Oryctolagus cuniculus: one gene and its partners. The protein of the gene in region 4 purifies or fractionates together with the protein of the main gene of each other region. This does not show direct contact. Links are inferred from orthologs where the notes say so. Each region holds a gene or a part of one and is shown on either strand. Other genes may lie near its edges. The genes, in order: EIF4G1, EIF3H, EIF4G3 and EIF4A2.

Region 1 (5,630 bases), about 2.5 Mb from region 4:
TGGGTTAAAAGGACTTATTCTCTCAGTGTCAGATGGTCCTTTTAGGTAGGTAAACATACGTACCAGGACAGTTTCTGTTCATAAAATAAGCATATTATACTCTTTCTGTACCTACGGTCCTTAATTTATGAGGGTTTCAATTTAGGATTTTTCAGCTTTGTGATAGGTTTTTCAAGGTATCGAGTGCATTTTCAGTTTAGGGTATTTTTGACTTAGAATGTTCTTTTTTTTTTTTTTTTTTTTTTTAGAATGTACTTATTTGAAAGGCAGAGTTACAAGAGGCAGGGAGAGAGAAAGAGGTCTTCCATCCAATGGTTCACTCCCCAGATGGCCACAGTGGCCGGAGCTGGGACGATCTGAAGCCAGGAGCTTCCTCTGGGTCTCCTACGCAGGTGCAGGGTTCCAAGTACTTGGGCCATCTTCTGCTGCTTTCTCAGGCCATAGCAGAGAGCTGGATTGGAAGTGGAGCAGCCGGGACTCAAACCGGCACCCATATGGGAGGCACTGCAGGCAGTGGCTTTACCTGCTACGCCACAGCGCTGACCCCAGGTTGGTTGCTTTGTTTTGAAACGTAGCCCCATTGTAAGTCAAGAAGCATATGTCATTGATCTAAGGTGCTGTGGATTGGAAGATTTCTTACTGATGCATTGCTAAGAAAAAAGACTCATGGTCTTATTTTTAAAATGTAGTAGTGTATCAGCTGTGATGTGTCTTACTTACAGTGTTTAAAATATGAAGAAATCATTTAAAATAGAATCATGAAATTTTGTTTTAAATATTTTACTTAATTATTTTGGAGGTAGAGTTAGAGACAGTGAGAGGGAGAGACAGAGAGAAAGGTTTTCCTTTTGTTGGTTCACTCCCCAAATGGCCAATACGTCCGGAGCTGCGCCAATCCGAAACCAGGAGCCAGGTGCTTCTTCCCGGTCTCCCATGTGGGTGCAGGGGCCCAAGCACTTGGGCTATCTTATACTGCTTTACCAGGCCACAGAAAAGAGCTAGATTGGAAGAGAAGCAGCTGGGACTAGAATGGGCGCCCATATGGGATGCTGCCGCAACAGGCGGAGGATTAACCTACTGTGCCACAGCGTCGGCCCCATGAAATTAACAGCTAATATCATCACTCTGCGTATTTTTTGTTATAAAAGTGATACCGGCCGGCGCTGCGGCTCACTAGGCTAATCCTCCGCCTAGCGGCGCCGGCGCACCGGGTTCTAGTCCCGGTCGGGGCGCCGGATTCTGTCCCAGTTGCCCCTCTTCCAGGCCAGCCCTCTGCTGTGGCCAGGGAGTGCAGTGGAGGATGGCCCAGGTGCTTGGGCCCTGCACCCCATGGGAGACCAGGAGAAGCACCTGGCTCCTGCCATTGGATCAGCGCGGTGCGCCGGCCGCAGCGCCCATTGGAGGGTGAACCAACGGCAAAAGGAAGACCTTTCTCTCTGTCTCTCTCTCTCACTGTCCACTCTGCCTGTCAAAAAAAAAAAAAAAAAAAGTGATACCTGTGGGGTCTCTTGCTCCTTAAAGAAAATGGGCTCAGGCTGCTATTTAAGATTTACTTATTTATTTTAAAGAGTTACACACACACGTGCGCGCACATGGAGAGAGAGGGAGGGAAGGAAGGAGGAAGGGAAGGATCTCTTCATCTGCTGGTTCACTCCCCAAAAAGCCACAATAGCCAGGCTAAAGCCGGGAGCCCGTACCTCCATCCTGGTTTCTCACGTGGCTGGCAGAGTCCCAGGTACTTGGACCATCATTCACTGCTTTTCTAGCCTCATTTGTAGGGAACTGGAAGGGAAGCTGAGTGGCCAGGACTTGAACCAGTGCTCTGGGATGGGATGCTGTCATTGCAAGCACGGCTTAACCCACGAGTGCCACAGGGCCAGCCCTGCATTACTGTTTTTGTGGGAATTTCTGGTTTGTGTTGTGGGGGTGAGGGTGTATCTGCTTTTGAGACTTTCTGGTGACGTTGGAAGACTAGGAGGGAGGAGGGTATTTGCATTTGCTTGTTCACGGTTTTGAGGGCCTTTCCCTCATCCTACTGGCAGTACTGTGGTAGACGAGTTCCTGTTTATCTGTGTGGGTATCTGATGTCTGCCCTGCACTGGACTTCAGGGCGTGGAAGGGTTGTGTCTATGGGGTACCTCTGCCGTCCTTAGCTTCCAGCAGGTACCTAGTGGGCTTTCAGTGAGTACCTGCTGGATGATTGTTGTGGAGCTGTTTGGTCCTTGGAGAGACGGGGTGGCTGAACTGGTCTTGTATTTTTCCAGGGCCCCAAAAAAGTGGGCATATTGTGGCGTGAGGCTGGGCTCAGCTGGAAAGAATTTCTGCCTGAAGGCCAGGATGTCGGTGCATTCATCACTGAACAGGTTTGGGGCTGGAGTTAGGTTAATTTTAGCTTCTGGGCCTGGCCAGTCTTCTCCCTCTGCCTTCATCTCTCAGGTGGCACAGGGGACCTGTTGACTGGGTCTTTTTGATTGCAGAAGGTGGAGTATACCCTGGGAGAGGAGTCCGAAGCCCCTGGCCAGAGGGCACTGTCCTCTGAGGAGCTGAGCAGGCAGCTGGAGAAGCTGCTGAAGGAGGGCAGCAGTAACCAGCGAGTGTTCGACTGGATAGAGGTGTGAGGTGGGGGGATGAGCGGGAGGGTTTTCTTAGAGTGAAGTTTGGGGGTGCAGGAGTGGACCTTGGGCCTGATTTTCAACCTGTGGACCATGTGTCTCTTGTGCAGGCCAACCTGAGTGAGCAGCAGATAGCATCCAACACATTAGTTCGAGCCCTCATGACGGCTGTCTGCTATTCGGCAATTATCTGTAAGAGGAGCCAGGGAGGTGGTGGGAGCAGGGTGAGGGGTTCAGCCTTTGCCTCCTAGGTCTGAAACAGCTTATGAACTATTATTTCACTTGCCCCTGTCTTCTTTCCTGCAGTTGAGACTCCCCTCCGCGTGGATGTCGCAGTGCTGAAAGCGCGAGCGAAACTGCTACAGAAATACCTGTGTGATGAGCAGAAGGAGCTGCAAGCACTCTATGCCCTCCAGGCCCTTGTAGTGACCTTAGAACAGCCCGCCAGTAAGAGCCAGGCCTCGGGGATGGGGGTGGGCTGGAGGGACCACTGGAGAGCAGAGAGTAGTCAGGGAAGGGTCTCAGTCCGCGAAAGGCTGATAGTGCCCTGATGGTTTGGTGCCTTCTCCCTAACTTTATTTCTCTGTCTACAAATGGAGGAAGTTGGACTTAGCCTTGAAGGTTAATGGACTGACTGCTTTGTGCTTAGTATCTGTTAGATAGCAGCAGTAAAGGTGAGAACATGATAGCATCTGTCAGGGGCTGCCATGTGCCATGGCTGTCTGGCACAGGGCCGGAGGCTCAGCTTGCCTGCCTCATTTAGTTGTCACCATGGTTGTTTAGGGTAGATGGTGTTACCCCTGTTTTCTGTATTGAGAGGCTGAATCTTGGTTACATGGGTGAGGTTATGCACTTGAGTAATAGCTGTGTGTTATCAGGGCATTGGGGTGCTCACAGCGACTAGGCCAGCTGCAGGTCTCGTGCTGACGGGGAGTGATGAGGTGGGGGTGCTGTCTGCAAGCACACTAGTCTCAGGAGTGGTGACTAGGAAATTGGCCAAGTGACCAGTGGGAAGTAGGGAGGGAGCTTTTAAGCAAACGCAGGATGGGGCTGGAGAGAGACAGGGCCCGTGTTGTGTAGGACTGCTATCTTGATCATCCTGCCACAGTGAGAAGAAGGGTTTGGGGTGGTATAAGTGAATGTGGCAGGACTGGCACTGGTGGCTCAGCCTGGCTGGTGACAGTAGAGGTGAGGGAGGAGCGGTGGGCAGAGTTAAATAACTCTGGAAGTGAGGTTAGCAGCTCTTGGTCACACCAGCCTGGGGAGGGGGCCGTGAGAGACTGGGAGTCATGAAGGACTCTCAGGATGGCTTCAGCAGGTGAGACAATGGTGTGGTGCTGGGATCGGGAACACTGGAACAAGTTGTCAGCGCTCGCTGTGTGAGAAGAGCCAAGATGTCAGTAGCTGGGTGTCGGTCCATCTGGGAAGAGGAAGAGGGCAGGGCAGGGGGCAGCTCTGAGTTGCTCTTAGAGGTTTAGGTGTGCAAGGCCTAGGAGGAAGGAATGGGGTTGTCTGAGGAAGTGGTGAGGCCTGGGGATAGGATCCTGTGGAGGTGGTGCACACACAGGTAGAGATCAGAGGAAGGCTGAGCCCTGTGAACAAAGTGGAAGTCCCAGATGCGCCTAAAGTTCATAGGGACATGACTGAAAATTAAGGGGCTCTGGGATCTAAAATCGGGGTGACCACCACAGCAGAAACTATTTGGTGGGGTCGGGGGAGGGCTCTGGATTGGAAAGGATTGAGAAATACTTGAGTAAAACAAGAAGAATGGAAAACAGCAAGTATAGACAATCTTCTTGAGTGTTATGAGACAGAGTCTTTGTTTGGTTAGAGGGCTGGGTGGACATTGATTGTATAGGATCCACAAGGTGGTGTGCCTGGGATTGGGAGTGCCACTGTGGGGCAAGTGGAAGATGAGCCATTCTTCTGGGATCAGAGTCTGGGCCGGGGTGGGGCTGGGGTGAGTGGCGGGGGCCCAGCTGTGTGCATTGGAGGGGGAGAGTGCCCTCGTGGAGTCCTGACTCGGTCAGGGACTTGGCAGGTCTGACTGTAGTTCTGTGCTGTTTCACTTCGCTTACTCTACTGCCCTCTGGTTTTAGGAATGTGCAGTTTGGTTTAGGAAGACTGGTAGTTCATTGTGGGGACTCGGGTAGGTTGTGTTCAGGGGATAAGACAAGTGCTTGGGAAAGGCTGCCTCGCAGCGAGGTGGTGAACAGTGACGCAGAGTGTCCGGTTGAGTCTTGAAGAATTCCAGGAAGGTGACGAGAGAGGATGGTCCTGGCAAGGGGGGTAGCACCTGCAGATGCGTCCAGGGCTAGAGAAGGGTATATGGGAACAAAGAATTGGGACCAAGAGTTTTTGTTGAGATGTTTGGGGCTCAGTGAATGTTCTAGATTATACCCTCAACATTTATGACTTGGATTCCCCAAAATCAGGAGCATCAATTCTGTGCATTTTTCCCCATTAAAGATATCTTGAGTGGAGAAATTAGAAGCTGCCAAGGTGAGGCTAGGCGAGTTCATGTTTTTTTTTTTTCCAATGGCTGAGTGACTCATTCCTGCACACCAATCTCTTCGACCATGAGATTAACGTCCTGTCAGACCTAGTCACTCTGGACTGGTCAGACACAAATGACAGGCTGGTGGGTGAGGGTCTTGTTTTAACCCTGGAGCTTGGGAGGGACCCTGGGGGCAGGCCGATGTGGCTGTGACCATGTGACTCTTAACTGCTGTCCTGCCTGCTTTCAGACCTGCTTCGGATGTTCTTTGATGCCCTGTATGACGAAGACGTGGTGAAGGAGGAAGCGTTCTACAGCTGGGAGAGTAGCAAGGATCCTGCTGAGCAGCAGGGCAAGGGCGTGGCCCTTAAATCTGTCACAGCCTTCTTCAAGTGGCTTCGTGAGGCGGAGGAGGAGGAATCCGACCACAACTGAGGGCGGGTGGGGCCGGGGACTTGGAGCCCCATGGACACGCGGATGGCTCTGCCCGCTGCCTGGACTGCAGGGGGGCGGCAGCGGTG
Region 2 (5,630 bases), on a different chromosome or scaffold from region 4:
CAAAGAGAATCTTAATCTGTAGGCCAAATGCCTGCCCTTATTACTAATTGATTACTTTAATTATCAGTTGAGTTACTGATAGAAAAATCAGCATCTTGTTAAAGTATACATACAGGCTTTGGAACTTGCCTGGTTTAAATGCTGACTGCCAATTCTAGATGGCCTTTAGCCATTGTTTCTTCTCTGGGTTCTTTTGCGTAAAAGTGCCTTTCTCCGAAGGTGGTTGTGTGAATAACCCATGTAAAAGTAGGTAGAATGTTACTTGGTGCATAATGTTCAATAAATGTGACTTGTTACTGACTCATAATTACTATTCCTGTTAATGTATTTGGGATGAACACTAATCAATAAAGTACTAATAATTTGTTATTTTGTTGTTAGGCTTAATTTCTCTGTGAGAACTTCTTGCATTTTAGGCTGTGTTGCTATTTAGGTCTTCAGGTCATGGGCTTATGTTAAACATCACTATTGTTAACAAGTAGGTGCTGAGCAGTAGTCAAAGCACTTTCCATATAGTAACAATCCTATGTTGTAAGAATTATTAGGAATGGTTACCATGAACTTTGACATTAACTGTCTATGCAGTCATACACTGTAGTGTCTCCTTTGTCTTTGTGTGAATATTTTTTTAAAAAAGATTTTTATTTATTTGAAAGAGTTATGGAGAGAGGTAGAGACAGAGGTCCTCATCTGATGCTGGTTCACTCCCCAAGTGGCTGCAGTGGCCGGAGTTGAGCCAATCTGTAGTCAGGAGCCAAGAGCTTCTTCTGGGTCTCCCAGGTGGGTGCAGGGGCCCAAGGCCTTGGGCCATCTTCTGCTTTCCCGGGCCACAGCAGAGAGCTGGATCAGAAGAGGAGCAGCAGAGACTAGAACAGGTTCCCTTATAGGATGACAGTGCTTCAGGCCAGGGCTTTAACTCGCTGCTCCACAGTGCCGGCCCCTTTGTGTCAGTCTTAAAGAAGACAGTCAAACAAGAGTTGTTTATTCCAGTAGCGATTATTCAGTGTATCTCTCTGGTTGAGGAAAATTAGGCAGTACTGGATACCAGGTTTTTTTTTTTCTTTCTCTCTCTCTCTCTCTCTCTTTTTTTTTTTTAACCTATAAAGAGTGTTTAATATAGCAAATTGGATATGGGCTAATACCCAGGCCTTCCTAGTGAATGTATGACTGGGCATGCTCCTCTGGATCATAATTTGTCTTGCTATTCAAAATCTGAAAATTTTTTTATAGAGAGAGCTTTTATTTAATAAGTACAAATTGCATAGGTACAACTTTTAGATTATAGCAGTTCTTCCCCCCATACCTGCCCTCCCCCCTATACTATCCTACCTCCTACTCCCTCTCTCATCCCATTCGTCATTAAGATTTATAATTACCTTTATATGCAGAAGACCAGCTCTATACTAAAAAGATTTCAATAGTTTGCACCCACACAGACACACAAAGTATAAAGTACTGTTTGAAGACTAGATTTACCGTTAATTCTCATAGTACAACTCATTAAGAACAGATGTCTTACATGGGGAGCAAGTGCACAGTGACTCCTGTTGTTGATTTAACAATTGACACTCTTATTTATGATGTCAGTGATCACCCAAGGCTCTTGTCATGAGCTACCAAGGCTATGGAAGCCTCTTGAGTCCACAAACTCTGACATTATTTAAACAGGGCCATAATCAAAGTGGAAGTTCTCTCCTCCTTCTTTTCACTGAGATCTCACGGAGATCTTTCATGTAGGTCATTTTTTGCCACAGTGTCTTGGCTTTCCATGCCTGTAATGCTCTCATGGGCTTTTTAGCCAGACCAGAATGCCTTAAGGGCTGATTCTGAGGCCACAGTGCTGTTTAGGGTGTTTGTCATTCTATGAGTCTGTTATGTGGCCTGCTTCCCATGTTGGATTGTTCTCTCCTTTTTAATTCTATCTATTATTATTAGCAGACACTTGGTCTTATTTATGTGATCCCTTTGAAACTTATTTCTGTCTTTATGATCAGTTATGAACTTAAACTGATCACTTTAAGTTGTAAGATGACATTGGTACCTGCCAACTTAATGGGATTTGGAGTCCAACGGCAAGTTTTTAGCTTTACCTTTAGGGGTAAGTCTGAGGGAATGTGTGCTGAACTGTACATCTCCTTGCTCTCTTGTTTCCACTCTTCTTTTTAACAGGGACCAATTTTCAATTGGATTTAAACACCTAAGAATAATTCTGTGTTAAGTGAAGAGTTCAACCAGTGGTATTAAGTAGAAAAAGAAAATACTAAAAAGAATAAAATAGTAAGCTGTTCCTTGACAGTCGGGACAAGGGCTGATCAAGTCATTGCTTCTCATAGTGTCAGTTTCATTTCTACAGATTTCTTTTTAGGTGCTCAGTTAGTTGTAACCTATCAGGGAGAACATATATTTGTTCCTTTGGGACTGGCTTTTTTCACTCAGCATGATGTTTTCCAGATTCTTTCATTTTGTTGCAAATGACTGGATTTTATCATCCATATCAAGAAGTTACCTTCCTGGGGGCTGGTGCTGTGGCACAGTGGGTTAAAGCCCTGGCCTGAAGTGCCGGCATGCCATATGTGCACCGGTTCTATAGTCCCAGCTGCTCCTCTTCTGATCCAGCTCCCTGCTGTGGCCTGGGAAAGCACTAGAAGATAGCCCGAATTTGGGCCCCTGCACCATGTGGGACACCCGGAAGAAGCTCCTGGCTCCTGACATCAGATTGGTTCAGCTCTGGCCGTTGTGGCCATCTGGGGAGTGAATCAATGGATGGAAGACCTCTCTCTGTAACACTGTCTTTCAAAAAATAAAAATAAATCTTTAAAAAAAGAAGTTACCTTCCTGTTAATAGGATAACTTTCCCAGTGATACCTCAGGCTGAAGGAGGTGTTGTTTGATTTGCCTGAAGGAACGCCTGGATACTAGACTCTTTGGGGAGTGTTGAGTTAGGGATTGTGAGTGTAGTACACAGATATTTTTGGTATATCTTCAGACTCCGGGAGTTTCATATTTACTTTTAGATTATGGGAGCTTTATTATTATATAACGGTAAAGGAAATGGTTTGTAAGGCATTTGTTTAATCCTATGTAGTTTTGTGTTTTTGCAAATCCGCTAATAATTGCTTACCTGTTTTTCTTAGAAATAAAGGATATAAAAGGAGAATGATTTTTAAGCCCCTTTCTGTATTTCTTTTAGGTGGTATTAAAGATAATAAAACATTATCAAGAAGAAGGTCAAGGAACTGAGGTTGTTCAAGGAGTGCTTTTAGGACTGGTTGTAGAAGATCGGCTTGAAATCACCAACTGCTTTCCTTTCCCCCAGCACACGGAGGATGATGCCGACTTTGATGAAGGTAAGGGTTTTCATCTCATGTGTTTTCTGCAGTGCATACAAATGTGTAGTAGTATCAATCTCACTGTAAACTTTGACCATTTGTTACCAGGCTAGCCTCATTCATTTGATTTCTGAGCTTCTTGGAAAAGTTACATAAATTTTGGGAAATGAAGATTATATCATAAATTTCATCAGTTTGACCTTTGCCTATTTGGGATTTGTGATTCTGATATGTAGTACAGCAGTTACCCTTATTATCTGAAGAGGTTATATTCTAATACCCCAGTGAGTGTCTGAAACTATGGATAGGACTGAATCCTAAATGTACTCATGTGTTTTTCCCTTTAAGCACATCGGTAATACAGTTTATAAATTATATAAACTTTTTTTTTTTAAGATTTATTTTATTTATTTGAAAGAGTTAGAGAGAGAGAGAGAAGTCTTCTATGCGCTGGTTTCACTCCCCAAATGGCTGCAGTGGCCGGAGCTGTCCCTATCTGAAGCCAGGAGCCAGTAGCTTCTTCTGGGTGTCCCATGTGGGTGCAGGGGCCCAAGGACTTGGGCCATCTTCTGCTATCCCAGGCCCTAGCTGAGAGCTGGATTGGAAGAGGAGCAGCTGGGACTAGAACCAGAGCCCATATGGCATGCCAGCACTTCAGGCCAGGGCTTTAACCCGCTGTGCTACAATACCTGCCCCAAATTATATAAACTTATTTAATTTATCGATGATAAAGTTTGACATATAAATCAGGCATAGTAAGAGACTAACAACAGTAACTAATAATAAAATAGAGTAATTATAGTACAATACTATAATAAAAGTTATTTACCACTTGTATATTTTTTCTTTCTGGAATTTTTCCGATTTAATATTTTTGGACCACAGTTGACTGAAGGTAACTGAAACCTCAGAAAGCAAAACCATGGACAAGGTGGGGTTGTTGGATAGAGGTTGTACTGATGCTCACTTTTTCATTATGAAGTCAGCTTGCCAAAGTGTGAAGAACATGGACCCATCATTATGTATACAGCATCCATTCTCTTCTCTCCAATTTTGAATCACCCAGTGTTTTTAAGATTGATTTATTTGAAACGGAATTACTTAGAGTTATCAAGAGATACCTTCTGTCTGCTGATTCACTCCCCTAAATGGCTGCAATGGCTGGTGCCTTGCCAGGCCAAAGCCAGAAGCCTGGAACTCCATCCAGGTCTTCCATGTAAGGGGCCTGAACACTTGGGCCATCTTCTGCTTTTCCAGGCACATCAACAGGGAGCTTGATCAGAAATGGAGCAGCCAGGACTTGAACTGGCACTCATATTGTATGCTTGCATTGCAGATGGCCACTTACCCTGTTGTGCCACAATGCTGGCCCCTCCCCAGTGTTTTAGAAGAGATGAGTTCAGCTGTCTGCTTCATAAAGAATATTCTCAAGCATTTCAGAAGCATTTGTTTCTCTACTGCAGTTAGTCATTGTTGTGTCAGCAGAGGCCTCTAGTAATTAAAAGCTCACACCAAAGGCATACATTTTATGAGATTATTTTAAAATCTAGTTGAAAATAATTTATCAGTTGTTTGAATCTTCAAGACTTTATTGTGGTGAAAAGCACCAGGCACCATTTTTTTTTTCTGTTTAAGTTTGTCTACTTTCAATAGCTCATATAAGTGGAATTGTACAGCGTTTGTCCTTTTTTTGTGTGTGTGACTGGCTTATTAGTGTAATATCCTCAGTGTTCATCCATGTTGTGGCATGTGATACGATTTCCTTTTATTTAAGACTGATTAATCCATTGTATGTGTATATCATATTTTCTTTATTTGTCTGTTGTTGGACATTTAGGTTGCTAACACCTTATAAGTGTTGTAATAATTCAGTGAACATGGTATTCACACTCTATGAAATCCTGTTTTTAAGTCTTTTGGATATTTACTCAGAAGTAGTATTTTTTTTTTTTTAAGATTTATTTATTTACTTGAAAGAGCTACACAGAGAGAGAAGGAGAGGCAGAGAGAGAGAGAGACAGACAGACAGACAGAGAGGTCTTGCATCTGCTGGTTAACTCCCCACTTGGCCACAATTGCCAGAGCTGTGCTGATCCGAAGCCAGGAGCTTCTTCTGGGTCTCCCACATGGGTGCAGGGGCCCAACGACTTGGGCCATCTTCTACTGCTTTCCCAGGCCCTAGCAGAGAGCTAGATCAGAAGTGGAGCAGCTGGGACTCGAACTGGCACCCACATGGGATACCAGCACTGCAGGTGGCGGCTCTACCTGGTATGCCACAGCACTGGTCCCAGAAGTAGTATT
Region 3 (5,630 bases), on a different chromosome or scaffold from region 4:
TAAGTTTTTAATTTTCACTGCTAGAAAAGTATAAACTACCTACAAAATCTGAGATTATGGCAGTTTTCCATCTGTCATGTGGATGGCACTGTGTACAGTATGGTAATTAGAGTTAAGAATTAAATTCTTCTCAATCAACCCTGACCAACTTAACTGTACAATGCACATTCCAACAGCAAATGGACAGACTGGCCCAAATGTATTTTATCATTATTCTGCACATTTGAAAGGAGGAGAGGGAAGAGGAGTCAAGAAGGACAAGGGTTCCTTGGCATTGCCTTAATCTAGGGGTTCTATTAGTTCATATCACACTCCATAGGGAGTCTAATTAGAAGATGACTAGCATTCTTCTTCCTCCAATATCAGGGTTCTGGATCCTGCACAAAGTGTCACACCATTGTGCCCTTTGGTTATCCCCTCTACTAAGGCCAAAAGTTGCCTCTTCATACTTTCCTGTTCCATTTCCTAATGTTCTAACATCTGATACAAGTAAAAGGAGCTGAAGGCATGGGTGGGGAAGTATTTTCTACTTATTAGACAGAGGCAAGGATGGCAAACAGATTTAAACCAGTATGCAGGCCGGTGCCACAGCTCAACAGGCTAATCCTCCGCCTAGTGGCGCCGGCACACCGGGTTCTAGTCCCGGTCGGGGCACCGGATTCTGTCCTGGTTGCCCCTCTTCCAGGCCAGCTCTCTGCTGTGGCCAGGGAGTGCAGTGGAGGATGGCCCAGGTGCTTGGGCCCTGCACCCCATGGGAGACCAGGAGAAGCACCTGGCTCCTGCCTTCGGATCAGCGCGGTGTGCCGGCTGCGGTGGTCATTGGAGGGTGAACCAACGGCAAAGGAAGACCTTTCTCTCTCTCTCTCTCTCTGACTGTTCACTCTGTCAAAAAAAAAAAAAAAAAAAAACCACACCAGTATGCAAGTGGCTTTGGTAATAGGAGAGATCCCAACGCCATGCCGGGGCTTTAGCAAAACAGAGAACCATCACCAGTGCTGGATTCAGACAGGAAAGAGGTGTGCCCCGCATTTACTTTCTCTCCTTGGGCTGGCTGCACTATATTCCCTACAGGAGTTAACTAAGAGAAGAAATCAGGCTACAGTGATAAACACTGTATGTGGTATAAGAAGAGAAAAACATTATTATAGAATAAGAGGGTTTATAGGAAAAACAATAGAGCAGAAAACATCAACATGTGGGCACTTTCCATAATGATCTCGCTGAATCTTTACAACAAATCTGCAAGGCAGACAACATCCCCATTTTACAGATTAAAAGTGTAAGGCTCAGCAAAGTCAAACATTCATTGTGAAGATCAGACTGATCATTTAGCTCACGAAAACTAAATTTAATTGACCACAGTCTGAATTCAGAACTGCTTATTTCAAAACTGCAATGTAGTCTGATAATCAAAGTAAGGAGTAGAAACACGCAACAATTAAGAGGTTCCTAACTCTCTCAGGAATACACCAGTTCAAGATCAGAGAGTATTGAAGCAAAATCATTAATTTTATTTATTTGTTTATTTATTTTAAAGACACATTTTATGTATTTCAAAGGCAGAGTGGCAAAGAATCTTCCATCCATTGGTTCACTCCCCAAATGATCACAAATGGGACTGGGCCAGGCTGAATCCCTGAGCCCAGAACTCCATCTGGGATTCCCACATGGGAGGCAGTCCCAAGTTCTTTGGTCATCCTCTGCTGCTTTCCCAGGTGCATTAGCAGGGAGCTGGACGGGAAGCAAAGCAGCCAGGACTCAAACCAGTGCTCTGACACAGGATGCTGGTGTTGCAGGTGGCAACCTAGTCTACTGCACTGCAACACCAGTCAGAAGCATTTTTTTTTTTTTTAAGATTTATTTATTTGAAAGGCAGAGACACAGAGGGAGATATCTTCTATCTGTTAGCCCACTCTCCAAGTAGCTGCCAACAACCTGGGCTGAGCCAGCCTGAAGTTAGGAGCCAGGAGCTTCCTCTGGGTTTCAGAGAGAGAGGGAAAGACACACTGAGAGAGGTTTTCCATCTGCTGGTTTACTTCCCAAACGGCCACTATGGCTTGCACTAGGCCAGGCTGAAGCCAGGAAACAGGAGCTTCATCTGGGTCTCCCATGTGGGTGGCAGGGACCCAAGAACTTAGGTCATCCTCCACTGTGGGGAGCAACTCGGACTAGACTATTACTGGAATTAAGACTTATTCTATGCATCTGTTCTCCCACAATATGGCGCTGAGAAGGGAGTAACAACTTCTACGCAGCTGCCTCTCGCCAACTTGAGTGATGACCTGCAGGAGCTGATCCTGCTCCTGATTGGAGGAGAGCAGCGTACTCGGCATGTGGGTAGCAGAGTTGGGATTGGTGGAAGAGGACTATAAAGGAGGAGAGAGACAACATGCACCAGGAACACCTGAGGAACATCTGAGCAGCCCCTGAGAGAGCCGGCCGGCGGTGTGCCGCTCCCCCGCGGAAGTGGGGAAAGTGGCAGGGGGGACCGCCCTTCCACGGAGGTGGAAGGGTCAGTAGCCAACCCGGGAAGAACCAGCAGCAAACCCGGGGAGGGCCGAGCAGACAAAAGAACAGCGCAGGGTCCTGTGTCGTTCCTCCATGAAGAGGGGGAGCGACATAATGGTGCCGTGACTCGGATATGAAGCCTAGGCAGGGTTTAGTGTCGTTCCTCCACGAAGAGGGGGAGCGACACTCCACTGCTTTCTGAAGTGCATTAGCAGGGAGCAGGTTCGGAAGTGGAGCAGCCAGGACTCGAAACAGGTGCCCTTATGGGATGCCGGTGCTGTAAACTGTGCTTTTAACCTGCTACACCACAGCACCAGCCCCAACCATAAGTTTTTTTTTTGAAAATATTTTATTTATTTATTGAAGAGGCAGATTTATAGATAGTGAGAGGGAGAGACAGAAAGAAAGGTCTTCCAGCCATTGGTTCACTCCCCAAAATGACCACAATGGCTTATCTGAAGCCAGGAGCCAGAATCTTCTTTCAGGTCTCCAACATGAGTGCAGGGGCCCAAGCACTTGGGCCATCTTCCAGTGCTTTCCCAGGCCACAGCAGAGAGATGGATCGGAAGAGGAGCAGCCAGGACTAGAACTGGCGCCCATATGGGATGCCGGCACCACAGGCAGTGGTTTTACCCTCTACACCACAGCACTGGCACCAGCATTAAGTTTTTATACATGTTAACGTTAGGACATCCTTCTCCTATTCAATTTATTAAAATAATTTAGACTAGTAGTATATTTCCTTTTCTTTCCTACTTACCAGCCTTAGGTCTATCACATCTTGAAGCATGAATCGAATTCTAGATGAGGTTTTTCTTTCTTTCACAATTTTTTCCATCTGATTAAAGTACTGGTCCATACGTGGCTACAAGAAACAAGATCATTAGTATTTCTGGCTAAAGAATTCAAATGTAATTTCATGATATAGATTTTTTTTCATTATAGAGAGCTTTTAAATGTTTAAGGAATAATATGACAGGATTTTTAATTGCCCATATGATTGCCCAAAGAAAAGATTACACTTTTCAGACTTTTGAGCAGGTGGCTTTTTTATGCTATTAATTATAGATCAGAATATAATGGAAATGCTATTTTGCAGCTCCCTGGAACCTTCCTTATGAGAGAGGTAGCTGTGTCCTTTGTCCCCCTTTTTTCCTACTTTTCCTGCTGAGAATTCTAAGGACTTAATGTTCTACCTTAGGAATGTGAAACAGTAAGCTACAAGGACTTATCTATGAACTTTGCTTATATAAGTGAAAAACTTCAATAATGTAGAAACTACAGGTACTTGGGATTTTCTGTCATAGCTAAACATAATTCTAGCTGACTCAAATGTTATGGAACAGTTCTGACATTATTTCTTTGAAGCACTTCTCATTTCCACAAACCTTACTTGGACAGTACTATGTTATGTTTGAATTATAGTATTTTTGGTGAATTCTTATATTATGGTTAGCTAGATGGGCCATTAATCAGAGCATAAACTTGAAGAAAACCAGGGGCCAGCATTGTGGCATAGCTGGATAAGCTGTAGCTGGCAGTGCTAGCATCCTATAAGGTTCAAGTCCTGGCTGCTCCACTTCTGATACAGCTCCCTGATAATGCAACTGGGAAAGAAGCAGAGAATGGCCCAAGGGCTTGGGTCCCTGCACCCACGTGGGAGACCTGGAAGATGCTGCTGGCTCTTGGCTTCAGCCTGGCTCAGACATGGCCATTGCAGCCATTTGGGGAGTGAACCAGCAGATGGAAGACCAATCTCTATCTAAAATAATATAAATCTTCAAAAAAAAGTGAACTACTGGGTTTTCCACATTTCTGTACCACCCTAGAGCCTGACACATAGTAGCTTTTCTTTTTTTTATTTCAGCTTAAAACTTGCTGTACAAATAAATGACCTATGAAATAGTTACGGAGGAAGAAAAGAGACAAGTGACAAATAATGTGAACAATCTACAAATTGTCTTCTGTATAATTTGGAACCTGCTCCTCTATGACTCTAATGCAAATGTGGCAGGGAACATGCTGGCCAAAAACTGATGATTAGATAGACAAAGGGAAATTAACAGCCTCAGCTGTGGGGGTGAGAGAGTATTTTGCAACCCAGAGCCTCTGTGGAAAGTTTCTGAATTTTTACCTTTGCTTTCTCAAAGTCCAAGTCTTTGCCAATGGTGGTGAGCAGGCGACACAGACACTCCAGGGATTCCTCATCGTGGTTCTTTAGCAGTTTCACCACACAGTCGTGCATGATGGCTTCAGTCAGCATTTTGAGTTTAAAGAGTTCTCCAATAAACTTGATGTTACCAATGGATCTCCGTCGGGCTTTGTCCTTGGCTTCTTCCAGTTCATCATGAAGCCTTGTCCTCTCCTCTGGCTGTCGTGTGAGAAGGAGTAAGAGCATCTTAATGAAAAGTTGTATGCCTCACGATCCTTACTCGTTCTGAGCGTCAGATGCCCTGTGAGGATCTGACAGCGACTGGGGACTTACTTTTCAAAACACGAACTACACCCACAAAGACCTCCTGCATTTCAGATCTCCAGAACCCAACGCCCTCTCTCAAGTCTAGGTTTAGACTGAACGCTGCTGCGGAGAGCTGAGCTGCTCTGACATTCAGCACTAAGAGGAATAAAACAGAACCCCTTTAAGGAAGCGGGGAGATGCTGTACCCGGCCTCACGTGTCCTTGGAAGCACTCAACACGCGTGAACACTGTCTTTCTGATGATACACTTACAGCACTGGCAGCTTCAAGTTCTTTCTGCTTCTTCTCAAAGACATCATCATCTGCTTTATCTTTTTCAAATTCCTTCTGGCAACGGTTCAGCAATAATTTCCGAAAATTCACTGTGTTACCAGGCTTGTCTGCCATCGGTACTTTGAGCTGCACGCAGATAGGAAAACGTAAAAGCAGCAAGATTAAAGACATTCAAAATGTCTATTTTCATTATTGTGCAAAATAATGCTACTGAAAAACAGGTAGGTTTTCTACAAGGGATACACAATTCAGCTTCAGGCATTTCATGATTCAACAATAAGATGTCTTGAATATTCTAAAGAACAGATACATATTATTCTCATACATCTTTTATAGCCATGCCTTTAGCTGAATCGGAAATTCACATCATA
Region 4 (6,059 bases):
CAGGAGCTTCTTCCGGGTCTCCCATGTGGGTGCAGGGGCCCAAGGACTTGGGCCATCTTACACTGCTCTCCCAGGCCATAGCAGAGAGCTGGATTGGATGTGGAGCAGCCAGGTCTCAAACTGGCGCCTATATGGGATGCTGGTGCTTCAAGCCAGAGCGTTAACTTGCTGTGCCATAGTACCAACCCCAAGGGTAGAAAAAATTTTATGGGGCTGGCGCTATGGTGTAGTGGGTAAAACTGCCATCTGCAGTGCCAGCATTCCCATATAGGCATTTGTTCAAGTCCCAGCTGCTCCACTTGCAATCCAGCTCTCTGCTATGGCCTGGGAAAAGCAGAAGATGGCCCAAAGACCTTGCACCCATGTGGGAGACCCGGGGAGGCTCCTGGCTTCGGATCGGCACAGCTCCAGCAATTGCAGCCAACTGCGGGAATGAACCAGTGGATGGAAGACTTCTCTGCTTCTCCTTCTCTCTCTGTGTAACTCTGATTTTCAAATCAATAAATCTTCTTTTTTTTTTTTTTTAAAGAATTATACTGTAAGGTTACAGGCACCGCAGGTGTGGATGGTGACTCCGTTATGGGTTCTTAACTTGAAACTCCCTCAGCACTCCTGACCTAACTCATAGAGTTAGCCCTTGTCGATTTCCTCTCCTCAGCATCTAGTATAGTAACAACCCTGAAGGAGCCGCTCAACAATTAGGTGTTAATTGTTGATTGATTTCACCCCACCATCCACTAATTTCACCCTAAGACTCAAGTGTAATTAAATGGCAAGTCACTTCTCTAAATTCATATTTTCTTCAGTTTCTTAGGTCCCAGGGTAGTTTTAGATTTTTAGATGAGACTACAGTAGTCTCTAAAGTGCTATCATTCTCCAAAAATGCTTGGCATCACTTCAACTCCGGATCTGAACACCGCGGGGGGACAGGTAAGTGGCAGCAGCACCAGACTGAACACCAGGTCTGCTGTCACCTTGGTAGTCTTCATTTTTGTCACAGTTCCCGGCACAACCATAATCTTCAAATACATAGATGATGTCTTGAACAAGAAATAAGTGGCATTTAGAATCAAGTACCTTCTAAAATACAGAAAGCTGAGTCAGTTTCTCCAATAATCGGGGACTAGGTTGATCCGAAATGACAAGAAAGCATCTTCCTAGGCAGTCATATCTTGATTATAGATAGGATTGTATTTTACAAATAAATTATTAAATATATTGTTTTTATTTCGACCCAAGGGGCCTGCGTTGCAGCTAGTTGAGAACTTGTCTTGAGTTTAAGGAATCATGCAGATTATTTCAGCAGCAAGGACTGTATTGCTCTGAATTTCAGTAAATCAACATTTCACTATACACAGGCAACTAAAACTCAAAATCATTTTAAAAATGATCAATGCGGACCGGAATCAAAACGCATCTAGTTCCAAAGAGGTATAGACCGGTACCTCCGGAAGCACCGCTTTACATTCCCTCAGTGCAAGGAAAATTCCTGTTCCTTAGCTTTTTTTTTTTTTTCATCATTTGAAAGAAGTTTATAATGATCCTCACACCTGTTAGGTTAGAATCGTCAGCACGATTTTTTACCAGAGAGGATCAGTGGAGATGGAGTACGGAGTTACTACCACAGATATTAGTCTCGACGACACTAAGATTTTTTTCCTTGCTCTGCAAAATGCACCGGCCAACCGGATTTTCTGGGACGTGCTGGGTGGCCGACATTTTCCCTAGTCGGAATCTCTCCAAAGATCTGAATGCATGTCCAACGGTCGGGCTTACTGCTGGGCGGCTCTTGACCGCGGGACATGGCAGAAGAACCCTGGCCCTGCGGAGCAGAGCGAAGACGCCGGGACCCTGCAGGAGCCGAGCCCCGGCAAGGAGCCGCTAGTCCGCCCGCCGACCGCGGCCCGGCCACCGAGCGCGCAGCGCGCCGCAGGCTTCCGGCTCCCGGCCGCCCGCCGCCCGGCTCGGCCTCTGCGTCAGAGCCGCGGAAACCCCGTAGGAGCAGGCGGGCGGGGCGGGCGGGGAGCGCGGCGTGCGGCCGCCGCTGCTGCAATATTCTTCCGCCGCCACGCAAAGAGCCCTAGTTCGCCTCCAGGTTTTGGGATTTCCAGCAACCCTGTAATATCGAGAAATTACGACATGTGAATTTTTCCACTGACTTCCTTAGGAATCTTTCCTGAGAGAACGGCCCCAGGATTCTAATTTTGGGACTAACCAAAGCGCGGCGACGATATTCCTCCGCGGAAAACGGGTTCCGGCCGCGAGCCTATAAAAAACGGGTGGCACGGCGCTGCTGTCTTTTCAGTCGGGCGCTGAGTGGCTGTTCGGACATGTCTGGTGGCTCTGCGGACTACAACAGGTATGGCGGCCTCTCGGCGGTGGTGTTCTGTGGTGAAGGTCAGAGGGCGCCCAGGGAGGCTGTGGTGAGTGCTGTGAGGGCAGGAAGCAACAGGCTCACGGGTGTTTTCGTGGGCTACAAATACCCCCCCGAGTCCTTCGAGAAGCTTCCATGATGGGTAGGACTGCAGGGGGACGCGAGTTACGGAATTGGAGTGGTCTCCCCTTTCAAAGACGTCTAGAAATTTCGGCCTTCACTCCTCGCCGTGCGGAACACGGTACATATCTTAAATAAAAGCCGTGGCCCAATCCGCATTCGGAACGGGGTGGTAGGGGCCGACGCTTTCTTTGCGGTCAACGGCGCGAGTTGGTCTCGGGCTTCAGCCTGAGGGCAGTGGGGGCAGCGGGGTCCACTCCGCCGTGCCCGGAAGGAGACGGGACTGGACCGGCACCGGGGCTGGGGGCGAACCGTTGGCATTGCCCTCGCCGGGCCGCCCCGGCCGCGTCAATCACCCCGGCTTGCGCAGTGTCAGGGGCGGAGCTCAGCGCGTGGAGCTCTCGCGAGATCTTCGTCGCCAAAACGGGAGAGCCCGGGGGGAAGGGGCTGGTGTTGGCGGGGCCTGCGTTGGGGCTCTCCCGCAGGAGACATGCCGGGACGTTGCGTGGCCCGCACACGGGCTGCGTTTGCTCTCTGGGCAGCGTAGGGGCAGGCCCCGAGGCGAGGCGGGTGGCGGCGGCTTGGGAGCTGTCTTAACTGCTGTTGTGTACTTGCCCGCAGAGAACATGGCGGCCCAGAGGGAATGGACCCCGATGGTGTCATCGAGGTGAGAAATGGGTGTGGATTTTGAAGCCTTGCAAAGGTGTGTGCGCGCGCATCTCATTTATCCCATTTAACTTCTTTTTAAACTTAACAGAGCAACTGGAATGAGATTGTTGATAACTTTGATGATATGAATTTAAAGGAGTCTCTTCTTCGGGGCATCTATGCTTACGGTTTTGAGAAGCCTTCAGCTATTCAGCAAAGAGCTATTATTCCTTGCATTAAAGGTAAAAGAAAACTCTCTAGCATTTAAAAACAGAAAGTGAATTCACTGTTAATGATAGACCTGGACCATAAAAGGGAGCGGAACCTGTGGGGGACTAGCACCTGTTTGTATTCCTTAAAGTGAAATGATGGCAATCATCTTTCGGGACTGACCTGAAATGACAGAATACTCATTGCTGATCACTTGATTATTGGGGCATAATTTATGTTCCAAATGGAATACATGGTGTGAAGTAGAAGTGACAATTTGATGTGGGATCGGTAAATATGTATCCTACTTTTTTTAGGGTATGATGTGATTGCTCAAGCTCAGTCAGGTACTGGCAAGACAGCCACATTTGCTATTTCCATCCTGCAACAGTTGGAGATTGAGTTCAAGGAGACCCAAGCACTAGTATTGGCCCCCACCAGAGAACTGGCTCAACAGGTATTGATAGTGTAGTTCAAAAAAACTGCTTGCGTGTTGCATAGGTTTCAGGTTTCACAACTGTGAAGAATTTAAAATTTAGGGTAAATTAGTCCTGTCAGAGCCCTCTTAATTGTCCATGCATGCAGGGAGTTTTTGTTGGAGGTTACATAGGAACTGGGTGTCTAGGTACTGTGTGTAGGGTTGTCTCCCCAGACTGAGGCTGTGAAGCTTTCTGTTCAGGATACCCCATTCCTATATCCATTTTCCTTACGTTCAAGTGCAGTTGTGCAACATGAAAACTGCAGTGACATGTTACCATTTGACTGTCTCAGTAGTTTGTGATGCATCTGTTGCATGCTATGTTTTCAAAGCTTACTGTTAAATTGGCTTTGAAGTAAACCTTCCTAATAAAGCCACAGGCTTTATTATGGTCAAGATCATAAAAAGGTACAGTTCCCTGTGGGGAAAATGACCAACATTTGTCCTAGCTGTAATTAACAGAATTTAATCAATATTTACACCTTTCCTACATAATGAAGAATAAGATAGGATGTGCTTCCTTTTTTTTTTTTTTTTAGTTGCCTAGCAGATAATCTGGGGCAAGAGGATCAGTTTGAGGCATAAGAAAGACAGGGAATTTTATTCTTGAAGCAGTTAGTCTGCATTTTAAGCTTGGAAGTAGTTTGCTGTGCATGCATAAAAGCTATTGGCAGACCAGATAACTTGCCATTATGCTTTGGCAGTTAGTCATAGAAACTGCAGCCCTACAGGATAATAATTACCGATTTTGGCTTTTAGATCCAAAAGGTAATTCTGGCACTTGGAGACTATATGGGAGCAACTTGTCATGCCTGCATTGGTGGAACAAACGTTAGGAATGAAATGCAAAAATTGCAGGCAGAAGCACCACATATCGTTGTTGGTACACCAGGGAGAGTATTTGATATGTTAAACAGAAGATACCTTTGTAAGTATTCTCCCTTAGGAGAGTTTTACATATTAACTGTTGTAGCAGGAAAGAAGTCAAATGATCTTTTTTTTTTAATAGCTCCAAAATGGATCAAAATGTTCGTTTTGGATGAAGCAGATGAAATGTTGAGCAGAGGGTTTAAGGATCAAATCTATGAGATTTTTCAAAAACTAAATACCAGTATTCAGGTAAGTGTTCTAAAGTGTTCTTTTAAGTCTGATACCAAAAGTTTTAGATTTAACACAGGTGCAGTTAGAACATAACTGAAGTGTTTTATTGTTCCCCCTGCTTATACAACATTTGATGCAGAATTATCTGTCTACCTACCATTTCATAGTAGGACAGACACTTGGTCTGTTTTTCTAGTGTCTTAATGTGAAATGTGAAAGTTGTGCTACCAGCTGGTATGACAGTGCCATCATTGTCTTTTGAAGGTTGTGTTGCTTTCTGCCACGATGCCAACTGATGTGTTAGAAGTGACCAAAAAATTCATGAGAGATCCAATTCGAATTCTGGTTAAGAAGGAAGAATTGACCCTTGAAGGAATCAAACAGTTCTATATTAATGTTGAAAGAGAGGTAATTTATCTGTTAAACATAAAAATGTACACTTTAACCTTCTTGTATAAGCACTGTGCTAAAATTGCAGAAACTAGGACCATGTCTTGGTTTTTGTAATAATGCTAGCAGAGTACACACAAGAAGAAGAGTAACTGCACTAGATTGTAAAGACTGGGGTGGACCTCTTTCTTAATGTCCAATGTCCTTTGTCTTAAAATTTGGTGCAATATGTTTTTGAGAGTAAATTTCATGACTGATCATACTGAAAATGAACTGACTGTCTTTGAAATCTTTTGTCTTTGAAATCCCATAGGAATGGAAGTTGGATACACTTTGTGACTTGTATGAAACACTGACCATTACACAGGCTGTTATTTTTCTCAATACAAGGCGCAAAGTGGACTGGCTCACTGAGAAAATGCATGCCAGGGACTTCACAGTTTCTGCTCTGGTAAGAGGTGTTTTAACTTAACATCAGTATTTACATTGAAGCAGGATTCAGACTACAATATAGCTGTTTAGTGCTGTGTTGTCGTTCCCCCTGCTCAAAGTAAGGTTGTTTCTTACTATACCTGTCTGCTCTATCCCTGTAGCAGCCAGGGACGCTTGGTCTCATACAAGCTGATAAATTCAGTGACCTGAGCAGTGATTTTTGAATAAAGGTTGGTTTTATTTGCAGCATGGTGACATGGACCAGAAGGAAAGAGATGTCATCATGAGAGAATTCCGGTCAGGATC

The links.
Region 1: the proteins of EIF4A2 (region 4) and EIF4G1 purify together in Homo sapiens (affinity purification with mass spectrometry; 6 studies listed by BioGRID and IntAct, with this or other methods). This does not show direct contact. The link is inferred for Oryctolagus cuniculus from reciprocal best matches to the Homo sapiens genes EIF4A2 and EIF4G1.
Region 2: the proteins of EIF4A2 (region 4) and EIF3H purify together in Homo sapiens (affinity purification with mass spectrometry; 3 studies listed by BioGRID and IntAct, with this or other methods). This does not show direct contact. The link is inferred for Oryctolagus cuniculus from reciprocal best matches to the Homo sapiens genes EIF4A2 and EIF3H.
Region 3: the proteins of EIF4A2 (region 4) and EIF4G3 purify together in Homo sapiens (affinity purification with mass spectrometry; 3 studies listed by BioGRID and IntAct, with this or other methods). This does not show direct contact. The link is inferred for Oryctolagus cuniculus from reciprocal best matches to the Homo sapiens genes EIF4A2 and EIF4G3.

Annotation. Positions count from the first base shown.
Region 1 is NC_091435.1:93,904,446-93,910,075, forward strand, and holds part of EIF4G1 (eukaryotic translation initiation factor 4 gamma 1), read left to right. Parts: intron 1-2,264; coding exon 2,265-2,363; intron 2,364-2,477; coding exon 2,478-2,612; intron 2,613-2,722; coding exon 2,723-2,804; intron 2,805-2,918; coding exon 2,919-3,059; intron 3,060-5,359; coding exon 5,360-5,544; 3' UTR 5,545-5,630.
Region 2 is NC_091437.1:142,342,893-142,348,522, reverse strand, and holds part of EIF3H (eukaryotic translation initiation factor 3 subunit H), read left to right. Parts: intron 1-3,190; coding exon 3,191-3,347; intron 3,348-5,630.
Region 3 is NC_091438.1:149,925,180-149,930,809, reverse strand, and holds part of EIF4G3 (eukaryotic translation initiation factor 4 gamma 3), read right to left. Parts: intron 5,386-5,630; coding exon 5,239-5,385; intron 4,880-5,238; coding exon 4,643-4,879; intron 3,374-4,642; coding exon 3,269-3,373; intron 1-3,268. UniProt on the Homo sapiens protein: Component of the protein complex eIF4F, which is involved in the recognition of the mRNA cap, ATP-dependent unwinding of 5'-terminal secondary structure and recruitment of mRNA to the ribosome. Functional homolog of EIF4G1.
Region 4 is NC_091435.1:96,444,107-96,450,165, forward strand, and holds the start of EIF4A2 (eukaryotic initiation factor 4A-II), read left to right. Parts: upstream 1-1,931; 5' UTR 1,932-2,330; coding exon 2,331-2,359; exon of another isoform or gene 2,360-2,423; intron 2,424-3,115; coding exon 3,116-3,161; intron 3,162-3,251; coding exon 3,252-3,384; intron 3,385-3,500; exon of another isoform or gene 3,501-3,568; intron 3,569-3,669; coding exon 3,670-3,809; intron 3,810-4,589; coding exon 4,590-4,758; intron 4,759-4,839; coding exon 4,840-4,949; intron 4,950-5,195; coding exon 5,196-5,339; intron 5,340-5,375; exon of another isoform or gene 5,376-5,553; intron 5,554-5,634; coding exon 5,635-5,772; intron 5,773-5,809; exon of another isoform or gene 5,810-5,943; intron 5,944-6,000; coding exon 6,001-6,059. UniProt on the Homo sapiens protein: ATP-dependent RNA helicase which is a subunit of the eIF4F complex involved in cap recognition and is required for mRNA binding to ribosome.